Linked DNA regions of Astyanax mexicanus. The protein of the gene in region 1 interacts with the protein of each later gene in a pairwise test. Links are inferred from orthologs where the notes say so. Each region holds a gene or a part of one and is shown on either strand. Other genes may lie near its edges.

The links.
Region 2: the proteins of ythdf1 (region 1) and prrc2b interact in a two-hybrid assay, tested with the Homo sapiens proteins (2 studies listed by BioGRID, with this or other methods). The link is inferred for Astyanax mexicanus from reciprocal best matches to the Homo sapiens genes YTHDF1 and PRRC2B.
Region 3: the proteins of ythdf1 (region 1) and dhx30 interact in a two-hybrid assay, tested with the Homo sapiens proteins (2 studies listed by BioGRID, with this or other methods). The link is inferred for Astyanax mexicanus from reciprocal best matches to the Homo sapiens genes YTHDF1 and DHX30.

Annotation. Positions count from the first base shown.
Region 1 is NC_064419.1:39,808,103-39,811,863, forward strand, and holds the start of ythdf1 (YTH domain-containing family protein 1), read left to right. Parts: upstream 1-1,085; 5' UTR 1,086-1,452; coding exon 1,453-1,479; intron 1,480-3,761.
Region 2 is NC_064408.1:3,655,795-3,659,555, reverse strand, and holds the start of prrc2b (protein PRRC2B), read left to right. Parts: upstream 1-1,461; 5' UTR 1,462-1,630; intron 1,631-3,761.
Region 3 is NC_064415.1:9,717,703-9,721,463, forward strand, and holds the start of dhx30 (ATP-dependent RNA helicase DHX30), read left to right. Parts: upstream 1-1,135; 5' UTR 1,136-1,150; coding exon 1,151-1,337; intron 1,338-2,971; coding exon 2,972-3,099; intron 3,100-3,720; coding exon 3,721-3,761.

The DNA.
Region 1 (3,761 bases):
ACAAAACAAGTGTCCTGATCAACTGAGATGGTGATTTGGGATGAGCTGGAGCTTCACAAAGTAAAAGAAAAGCAGCAGCTATTGTTCAGCACTTCCAGGAACGCTTCTTCAAGACGCTGAGAAAACTATTCCAGATGACTCTACCTCATGAAGACACTGAGATGCGTACACTCAGCGTGCATTGAGTGTGTGCAGATTTGTCCTTAAAACTAAAATGTGGTAAGAATATATAGACTGTAAAGTATAAAACAAATTCTGGTTTGTTTAACGCTTTTTGTTTACATAATAATTCTGTATGTCTTCCTAGTTGCTTTAATATCTTCAATATTAAATGTACAATGTAAAAAAAGAAAAGGAAAAAAAACACATTAACTGAGAATCAAATCAAATGTATTTGCATAGCGCTTTTTACAACTGATGTTGTCACAAAGCAGTCTTATAGAAGAGGTGTGTCCAATTTTTTCATAATTTCGTAATTTGTAAGTAACATTTGAACATCATGTAGTTTCTTTTTTCAAATGTTTTGTTGCACAGAACACTAATCCAGACCTGTCGTCCATAAGATCATAAACCAGACAATAAAACAATAGCTTAGCCCCGCCCACTGCACTAGAAAAAAATCAGCAACTCAGACATTGGGGCTTTTCAGCACTACAGAAGAAATAAGGCAAAAAATCATGTTTTATCATGTTTAGAATTAAAAAGGTAAGTTAATTGGATTTATTTTAACATAGATGTAATGTTAGGGTATTTATATTTGTTATTATTCTCTTATATGTTATATCTCTTAGTATTTTTTAATTTGTAAAGCACTTTGAATGGCCGGTGCTTTATAAAATAAACTTGTCTTGCTTTGCCTAATATTAGAAATGTTGTGTGCATTACAGAAGGAAAACGGCCTTCATATATTTTTCCATAACTGGGACATAAATTCAGGTCTGAAAGGGTTAATAAATCATTGATAATATTTGAATTATTAGTATTATTACTAAGTTAAACGAGCTGCACAGGGTCAAGTCCAGGAAAGCAGACAGACAGGCCGCGTGGCCACCCGGTCCCCGTGACGTCAGTCCGCTGAGCGCAGATCCCGGATGGAGCAGGGGGGAAGTGAACTGGGCTGCACAATAAACTGAAGGCTGCGAGGAGTAGGAAAAACCTCCTAAAGAGCCTCGCCGCGCATCGGAACCGGACTAAACCCGAGACGCTGGACCTTGTAATAAGCGCAGTAGCGCGCGCGGCCCGGATCGTGGTGTATCTCCGTACCGTGATCGGTGTAATCTGGCCGTGGAAGTTGCTGAGGAATCGCGCCGTGAGGAGAAAACAGCAGCAGCAGCGGCGGCAGCCTGAGCCTGCAGGAGAGACCGAGGGAGGAAACACGGTGTTTGGAGATTCGCTGAACAAGCCGACCGTTTTTTAGACTCTTGGCGATTACAGGGGCTTTGTTGATGAATTATGTCTACCACCAGTATTGACCCTCAGGTAGGCCGCACTGCTGCTCCGTCTGCCGGGGGAACGTGTGATTAGACGCGGCCGCTTCCCGGCTCGAAACGCAGCTGAGGCCTCGCTCGGCTTGAGCTGATAGAAACGGGCGCTGCGCGTCCAGCCCGCTGTTGCTAATAGAGCTAACTAGCTAACATTAGCTACTACAGACTGTTAGCTAACTAGCTAGCTACTACAGAAGAAAATCCTGGAAATATAACTAACCTAACAGCTAGATGGCGAAGCTAGCTAACTTTAGCTTTTTTAAATTGACAACAAACAAACATAGCTAGCTCAGAAAGTACACGATATCAAATGGATAGCAATAATAATGGTGTGCACAACACAGTTAGCTTATATTAACAATACTGATAGCTAACTACATGAATATAAGCTAACCAGCTATTTAGCTAGGTAACTTAACGTACATATTTCACATAAAAATACACACAGCTTTTTAATATGATGATAAATATATATATAGTTATATTTTTCAAAGACAACAAAAAGTGGTATTTTATCTGACAGTGTAATCTACATCTATGTAGTTAGCTAAGTTAACTATGTTGTAATTACAAAACTTGGACATTGTAAAACGTATGAAATGTAGCTAACCAACTAAAGGTTATATATTTTATATAGATTTATATTTTATATAATATCAAATACATAGCTATAATGATTGTGTACAAAATACAATTAGCTTATATCAATAATACCGCTAGCAAACTACATGAATATAAACTAACTAGCTAAGTACATAGTTAAACACCTTTAAAATGCACATATAGCTTTTTGTTTAGTTATCTATAGTTACATTTTTCAGAGACAACAAGTAACCTACATGTGTGTAGGTAGCTAACTAGATTATAACTATAAAACTTAGACATTGTGAGAAGTATGAAATGTAGTTAGTTAACCTAACTAACTTAGCTTAGTTAGCTATTATAGCTGTTGATTATGTAGGTTACGTTATGTGTATCTGTCATTTACCAACCAAATAACCAGACAATATTTGTTCCCAAAATAAGCAATACTTCACTACTGTTCATCAGCCTCATCAGTAACAAAGGCACTTGAATCTTGCCAAAATTGTCTAACAAGCTACCAAGCTTTTTTTAAATTGACAACAAATATAGCTAGCTAGAACACAACATATAATGCATAGCTATAATAATGCGTTTCACAATACAATTAGCTTATATTAATAGTACTTCTAACTACATGAAAATAAGCTAGCTGGTTAGATTAATACATAGTTACACATCTTAAAATACATACACATTTTTTTGTTTTAAAGAGGGCTGTGTTACCTAGCTTGTTTGATATAATGATACACATATCTATGCATATACAGCTATACATATATCTATGCATATACAGCTATGCATATATCTTGCATATACAGCTCTGGAAAGAAATAAGAGACCACTTAAAAATGATGAGTTTCTCTGGAATATAATCAAGAGGAAGATGGATTATCACAAGCAATCAAACCAAGCTGAACTGCTTGAATTTTTGCACCAGGAGTGGCATAAAGTTATCCAAAAGCAGTGAGACTGGTGGAGGAGAACATGCCAAGATGCATGAAAACTGTGATTAAAAACCAGAGTTATTTCACTAAATATTTTTTTCTGAGCTCTTAGCGATTTATAAATATGAACTTGTTTTCTCTGCATTATTTGAGGTCTAAGTTCTGCCTCTTTTTTGTTATTTCAGCCATTTCTCATTTCCTACAAATAAATGCTCTTAATGACAATATTGTTATTATGCTCCAAATGACAATATTGTTATTTGGAAGAAATGTTGTCCATAGTTTATAGTATAAAACAACAATGTTCATTTTACTCAAAGATATACCTATAAATAGCAAAATCAGATAAACTGATTCAGAAACTAAAGTGGTCTTTTTTCCCCCTAGAGCTGTGTGTAGTTTGCTAACTAGGTTTTAACTGTAAAACTTGGACATTGTAAGAACTGTGAAATATAATATGTTAATTAAACTAGCTTAGTTAGTTAGCTTAGCTAATTATCCAACCAAATAACCAGACAGTATGTGTTCCCAAAATAAGCAATACTTCACTAGCTACATTTCATTAGCCTGATCAGTAACAAAGAAACTTAAATCTTGCCAAAATCGTTTAGGTTATCTAACTAATATGTTGATAATCACAAAACAAGCAAATGGGTATCTCTAAGTTAGTTTAGCTTAGCTTTATTACAAGCCAGTTAGCTTGCTTATTGCAAGATTATGTGTATTAGTTTACTAGCTAGTTAGCGGC
Region 2 (3,761 bases), on another chromosome or scaffold:
AAAAGCACAAGGTAGTATAGTAGGTGTTTCTAATAAAGTGGCCACAGTAAGTGGACACATAAGGTAGTATAGCAGGTGTTTCCAATAAAGTGGCCATCAGTGAGTGGAAGTACAAGGTAGTATAGTAGTAGGTGTTTTCAATAAAGTGGCCACAGTGAGTGGAAGCACAAGGTAATATAGTAGATGTTTCCAATAAAGTGGCCAGTGAGTGTGTTAGAAACACATGTTTAGCTCATTATTCAGTAAATATATTTTGTTTAGTGGAGTCCAGCAGAGTTTCTCTTCTCTCTCCATCAGAACCAGCCCTTTCCTGAGGACCACTCATCCCTCTATCCTCTTCACCTCCTCTTCATCACTCCATTCACTCAGGATCTGCAGCAGACAGGATTCATTATATAAAGAAATTATCATTTTAATATCATACAGACTGATTTATTGCAGATGATCCATTCTGCTGCATCATAGCAAATTATTAACATGACATATAAATATAATTCATATTTAATACATAGGTTGTTTAATTTACTGTATAATATTTATTATTATTTTACAGACTCTCACCGGCCACTTTATTAGAAACCATAGTGCTGGATTTGTGCACAAGATTAAAAAACACCATAGCTTGCCAATGGTGCCACCTAGTGGAGCATTAAAGCTAACACATGTAGTTCCCGGCTTTTACAAGCATCTATGGCATCTAGTCGGTCATGTATTTCAGTACATCAAGCAGTGTTTTTATTCTATTTTAATTAGAATACGACTCTATAGAGCAGATACTCAACTCAACCCAACTCAACCCAAACCAACACAACCAAACCCAATCCCAATCAAACCCAATTTAACACAGCTCAACTCAACCCAAACCAATGGAATCAAACCCAACTCAAAACAGCTCAACTCAACCCAAACCAATGCGAACAGACACAACTCAACCCAAACTAACACAATCAAACCCAACTCAACACAGTTCAACTTAACCCAAACCAAACACAATCAAACCCAACTCAACACAGCTCAACTTAACCCAAACCAAACACAATAAAATCCAACTCAACACAACAAACCCAACTGAACACAACAAACCCAGCTAAAACCAACGCAACAAAAAAAACAATTAAACTAACCCCCTAAAAAAACACCAACTCAACACAGCCCAATGAAAAACAACCCAAAAAAAACCCAACCCAACCCAAACCAACCTCAACACAACAAACCCAACTCAACACAGCTCAACTCATCCCAAAGCAATGTAATCAAACCCAGCTCAACCCACCATCAGAGGGTTTGTGGAGTCAAAACATCCCTATCCATCCATCTATCCATACATCTCTATCTATCCATCCATCCATCCATCCATCCACCCAAAAAAAACAGAAAACACTACAAAATGTAATATAAATCACTGCGTGTGTAATACCAGGACGCGCCTGTAGCGGTCGCAGTTTGACACACACTCTCGCCCCAACGTCATATCCGACAGCAGGCCGTGTGTGGCAACACAAGTAAACGGCGAGCAGATTAAAGAAACACAGAATCGGCCGCAGAATCTCCATCCATCCTTCCAGATTCCGCGCGCAGGTGGACTAAATCCGCACCATCGGGCACACACAAGAGTTTCCCCGTTGAATCGGTGAGTTATCGGCGCGGTCCGGGCGAAAATAGTGCCTTTATTTTTAATCTGAATCTCCGCTGCCCCCCTTGACTCGGACTGTGGCTTTGTTCTGGCGCTGCAGCCATTTTTAATCTCCACTGCTTCTTTATGCGCCCCTGTAGCTGAGAGAGGCTGCGGGTTATTCACGTTTCTACGGGTTTAACACACGTATTATGAGTGTGCACAGATTTACAGCACTAGAGAAATGAATCTATTAAGTTATATAGGTGTACAAATTTCGGTGTGAAATTCAGTGTTATAGCATATATGTTATAACCTAAGGTCTGCAGGCTGAGCTCATCTCATCCCTAGTTATTATTTTATTTAATTTTTTGACTTATTACAATAATGGCACATTTTTAACATAAATTAGTATTACATGCTTTGATACCCGTTTTTAGCCTGTAAAAAAACAATGTCCTGCGTTTCTAAGCTTTACAATTCCTTCTAAATGCTTTAACCTGCTTCAATATAGAGATCTGTTCCGATCCAGATCCAGAAAGTAAAAATCCAGCTCCAGGATTTAGTTTCATTTGCCTGGGCGCCTGTGCAGCAGCCGAGCAGCAGCACAACCGCCCAGGCAGTTGAAACAAAATCCTGGAGCTGGATTTTTACCTTCTGGATCTAGATCGACGGATTTCTATTTTCTGGACCTGAATCACCTACTTACAGCTATTTATACACATTTCCTAAACGAATACACCCATTTTAGCTGTTATTCATATTTAGACGCACTTTTAACACCTTTTAAAAACCACATTTGACCATATTACAGCTTTATTTCGACTAGAATCTTAAACGCCAAACCAAAGCGGAAAAATCCGCCTATGCTAAGCTAACCTAAGGTTAGAGATGTTTACCTTTAAAGCTATGCTAAGCTAACTTGTTAAATACGTTTAAATTTGATATAATTCGCTAAAATTCGGCATTTTCGACTTATTATCCTGTGAAAAAATGAATTAAGTATTAACTCAAGTGGTTAAATGTGTGAGAGGATCTGAATATAACACACACAAAACGCTGCAAAGCGAATTTAGCCAATTTAGCCGTTAGCATAACGTTACCGTTTTTTTTCTCCTCAGACGTTTTCTTTAGGTGTAATAAATACCAAAATCTACAATCACATTGAGTTTAAACGTCTATTAGACCTTGAAAATACTTCTCTAATGTCAAAATATCGCTTCGTGGTCTGCTAAAAACGACTGGGCTTTTGAAAAACACAATACTGCAGATGTTTTGTGCTGTTTTATGCTGCTCTCATTGTATTTTAATGTGTAGCAACGTTAAATGAATGAATTCGATTTAAAGATCTGATTAATTAGTTGTGTGAACAAATACGAAATACTGTTTTTTAAAAACAGTTTTAAAAGGTCATTCTGCTCCCTATTTGAAGATGATTTTTTTAAACGGTAATGCTGCTGTGTTGCACACATTGTATTGTATTTTATCGTGCTCAATGTGTGGTAAATGAATGAATTCGATTTAAAATTCTGTTTAATTTAGTTGAGTGAACACAGGAACAATCCTACCTTTTCCCCAGTAAGTAGATGAATGGATGGATTCATTTTAATTCAGATGTTGGCTGCTGCTCATTGTATTTTAGTATATGTGGTAAATGAATTAATTTGATTTAAATATCGGATTAATTCATTCTGTGAACAGAGACAATCCTATTTATCAGGTTTAAGAAATCATTCTGCTCCCTATATGTAAAGAGGATGTATTTTGGCTTTAAAATTATAATGCTGATGCCTTATGCTGACCTTATACCTAACATTTTCTTTAAGTTTAATAAAAAACAAAATCTAGCTACACCAGGTTTAAACCTTTATTAGATAAAAACAAAATCTAGCTACACCAAGTTTAAACCTTTATTAGATCTTGAAATTACTTATATAATGTTAAAATGTTGTGTTGTGGTCTTCTAAAAACAGCTGGGTTTTTGAAAACCACACAATAACGCAGATGTTTTGTGATTTTTTTTTTGTTTGTTTTATGCTGCTCCCATTGTGTTTTAGTGTGTGGTGAATGATTGAATGAATTTAAAGATCTAATTAATTAGTTGTGTGTGAACACAAAGGCAGTCGTGCTCGCTACCTAATAATGGTGT
Region 3 (3,761 bases), on another chromosome or scaffold:
TTATTTTTTAAAACATGTTTTCTCACAATACTCTCTACTTGGGACATGTCAGGACCTGTATCCTCTTCTGGCACAGCCATGCATTTGTGTGGAAGCCCATTTCCGCCACCTAAAATAAACACAGTTTATTTTTTTTCCCCATTATTAAGTTAATTATTTTGGGTCATCATTTTGAGATGCTTAAATCATTAAAAGAAATAGCGGGATTCAAATAAAAAATGAAAAGCTTTTAACCCCTTTGAAATGCCTTTAATGTCCCATATAAAATAACTTATTTACATTCTGAAAATTTGAGGGCTTTGAAATCTCCTACAGGACACTTTGAGAAGCTGCCTGTTTTCTCTCTACTCCACTTAATAAATTAATAATTCCAGATAAGAAACAGGAATCAACCCAAATTCTGCATGTTTGAAAATAGACGTAAAAACTAGACACACATAATGTAACTAAAGGTTTGTAGGAAATTAACTGTTTGGTTTGTATTCAGGAATATATTAAGCTAAAATAAAGTTCAGGAAAAAACAATTTATTATTTTATTCTTTTTTTATATATATATATAATTTTCTATTACAATTACAATTAGGCTTTTCTGTAATGTTTCTTATCAAACATAAAAGCTTTTTTATGCAATGGTTGAGTAGAAACCCCTCAAGATTTAGTGGTGAAATGTCAGACAGACAGTTGACAAAAATCCTGCTGTGTTAGAGGGTTAAATTATCAGTGGTTTGACACATTTTTGTTTTTGAAAAATGTACCAGAAGTGTATGTAATGTGCAGTTGTTTTTGTTATTGAGTTGTATTTTTTCTATCTATCTATCGTCTGTCTGTCTGTCTGTCTGTCTGTCTGTCTGTCTGTCTGTCTGTTTATTTGTCTGCCTATCTGTCTATTTATTTGTCTGCCTATTTGTCTATTTATCTGTCTGTCTGTTTATTTGTCTGCCTATCTGTCTATTTATTTGTCTGTCTGTCTGTTTATTTGTCTGTTTATTTGTCTGCCTGTCTGCCTATCTGTCTGTCTGTCTGTCTGTCTGGCCTGCTGGAGCTGTAGTTGATCAGTCAGGCCGGTAGGGGGCTGCAGTGCTGCTGTAGTGTTGCTGCTGAACGTGCGCGCTCGTGCGCGTGTGCGCCTGCGCGTGTGTATCGGTAAAGATGGCGGCGCACTGTACCGGTATCATGCGTGTCCGCGGGCTGTGTAAGATACTGTCCCTCAGCACGGGAGAGCCCGCGGGCCGGGCCGGGTCCGGCTGGAGCTGGAGGTGGGCGAGCAGATACAGAACCAGAGCAGGGGAACGAGGAGATCCGGAGACTGAGAGCTCCACAGGAGGAGGAGAAGGAGGTACCAGCTTAACCATTTCATAACTGACCTGCAGAACTACAACACACACACACACTGGGGTCATACACACCAGTAACATTACATTACACCACAGTTTACACTGATTACACTGATTAAAATGGGTTATCAGTAGAGGATATGTGTTTATTTAAGTTCTTTTAAGAAGGTTTAGCTTTTTAATCTGCAAGCATAACCAACAGGGTTAGGCCACCAACTGGGTTAGCAGGGCCAAGTTTGACCTTACTGGTTAATCAGCTTGACCAAGCCAAGTGTCACCAAAACAGTTTACTAGACCGTTCATAATAATCACTTTACCAACGTATCCTATGATATATGGGCATGACCTAGCGAACTGAAGCTGTGTTTTTTTGCTTGTTAGCATTATTGATAACTGGTTTTCTTAGGGCTACACAGCAATTTAATCCCAATCCCTTGAGTTCCCTTTACTGCATTGTGCCCTTTGGGGAAAGCTCTTACTTTCACCTTTAAACATTTACTTGAGTTTTAGTGTTGTTCACCTTCTTTCAGATTTTTTTTTTTAATTACGACCACATTCCTTCCTAAAATACCATGTTCCCCCACTGTCGTTCTATTTTTTTTAATAATGACAGCTGAGAGTTTTAACCTAATTTTAATAGTTTTAGCAATCTGCTTGATTTTTTTGGAAAAACATGTCATCTGCTGGTGTTGATCCACTGTGTTTTATTATCAAGTCTAAAGTCAGTGCAGTTTTGTTTTCCCACAAACTTTCCCACAACTTTTATGGGGATGTGGATTTCATTTTCCAGCAGGACTTGGCACACCACTGCCCACACTGCCAAAAGTACCAATTGGTCTTATAATATAATATTCTAATTGTCTAAGATAATGATTCTTGGGTTTTCATTGGCTGTAAGCCATAAACATCAACAATAAAAGAAATAAACACTTAAAATGGATCACTCTGTGTTTAATATATATAATATATATATATATATATATATATATATATATATATATATATATATATATATATATATATATATATATATATATATAATGAGTTTCACATTTCGAACGGAATTACTTGCCTTTTTTACCGAATTTACTTGCTTTTGGATAACTTTCTACCACTCCTGGTATATAGGCCTGTCACAATAATTGCAATATCGATTTATCGTACAATAAATTAAAATGACCTCAATAATTTTTGATAATCATGATATCGTCTGTTGTGTTTTTTTTTTTTGTATGTTTGTTCACATATATTACAGTAAACAGTATTTTAGCCAGTCATGCTTCAATAACCGTGACTCCATAACATACACACAGTGTGGACTAAAGTAGGTGAAGAAATAAGTATATAATTCCCAAACTAATTATAATAAATGATTATTGATTTTTTTTGTTGCCCTTAAAAAGTGTATAATTTATTTTTTATGCTTTTCTGTTATCATTATGTTAGTGGAATTTAATAATCTTAAAATTACAAAAATATATGTATCGCAATCATTTCTGTGACAATATATCGCCCGCAAAAATTCTTAGCATGACGGGCCTACTGGTATATTGAAGGTATAAAACACTTTATGTGTACACTACAGTATGACAGACATTGATCATCACTAATAATTCTATGATTTTTTGATCCCCAGGTCAGTCTGATCTCCTGCTGGAGTTCCCCAAACCAAAGCAACTGCTCCACACCACGCTGAGTAGATCACTGAAGTCCTCTGATATGGCGAAGTTCATTCGCTACAGCTGCACTGATGGGGAGGTTAAGGTACAGTGCCTGGTTTATATACTGCCTTCATGCTAAGAATGTTTTTACACACATTTGTAGTACACTTCATTCAGATACAGAACGGTCAATACAGCCTAGTGCTGGGCGATATGGGAAAATATATCATGTATATCACGATATAGACTTTTTTTTATATTACGATAACGATATATAATATTATGATATACCACATTTACGTATGTTTTCAGTTATTCTTCGAATAATTTGACAAAATAATATCCTTGCTTACTTTTTTCTATAAGCTGTAAATAGTTGTTTATACATCTCTAATACATAATAAATACAAAAAGAGATTTACATATTTGTTAGTATTTAGTTAGTAATAGTATTTGCCTGTACAGACGCCTGCACCCTTAATAAATCTGTTGTGTCTGTATCTTTTCTCAGATACATTTATTTAGTTATTTTTCAAGTTTGCTTGTTTCTGATTGTGTTTGAAAGAAGAATGTGATTTTTTTTTTTTTTTTGTATTCATCTTCACAGCCAATTCATAAAGTCACTGAACAAAATGTATCATAAAAAAATAGAAATCATTATTTTATTTAAACAGAAATATATTCTATTTCACCCAATTTCTCATTGTTCTTATTTTTTTAATAGAGGGCAACAGTCACATTGCTCTGGCCTCAGAAGATTGAGGT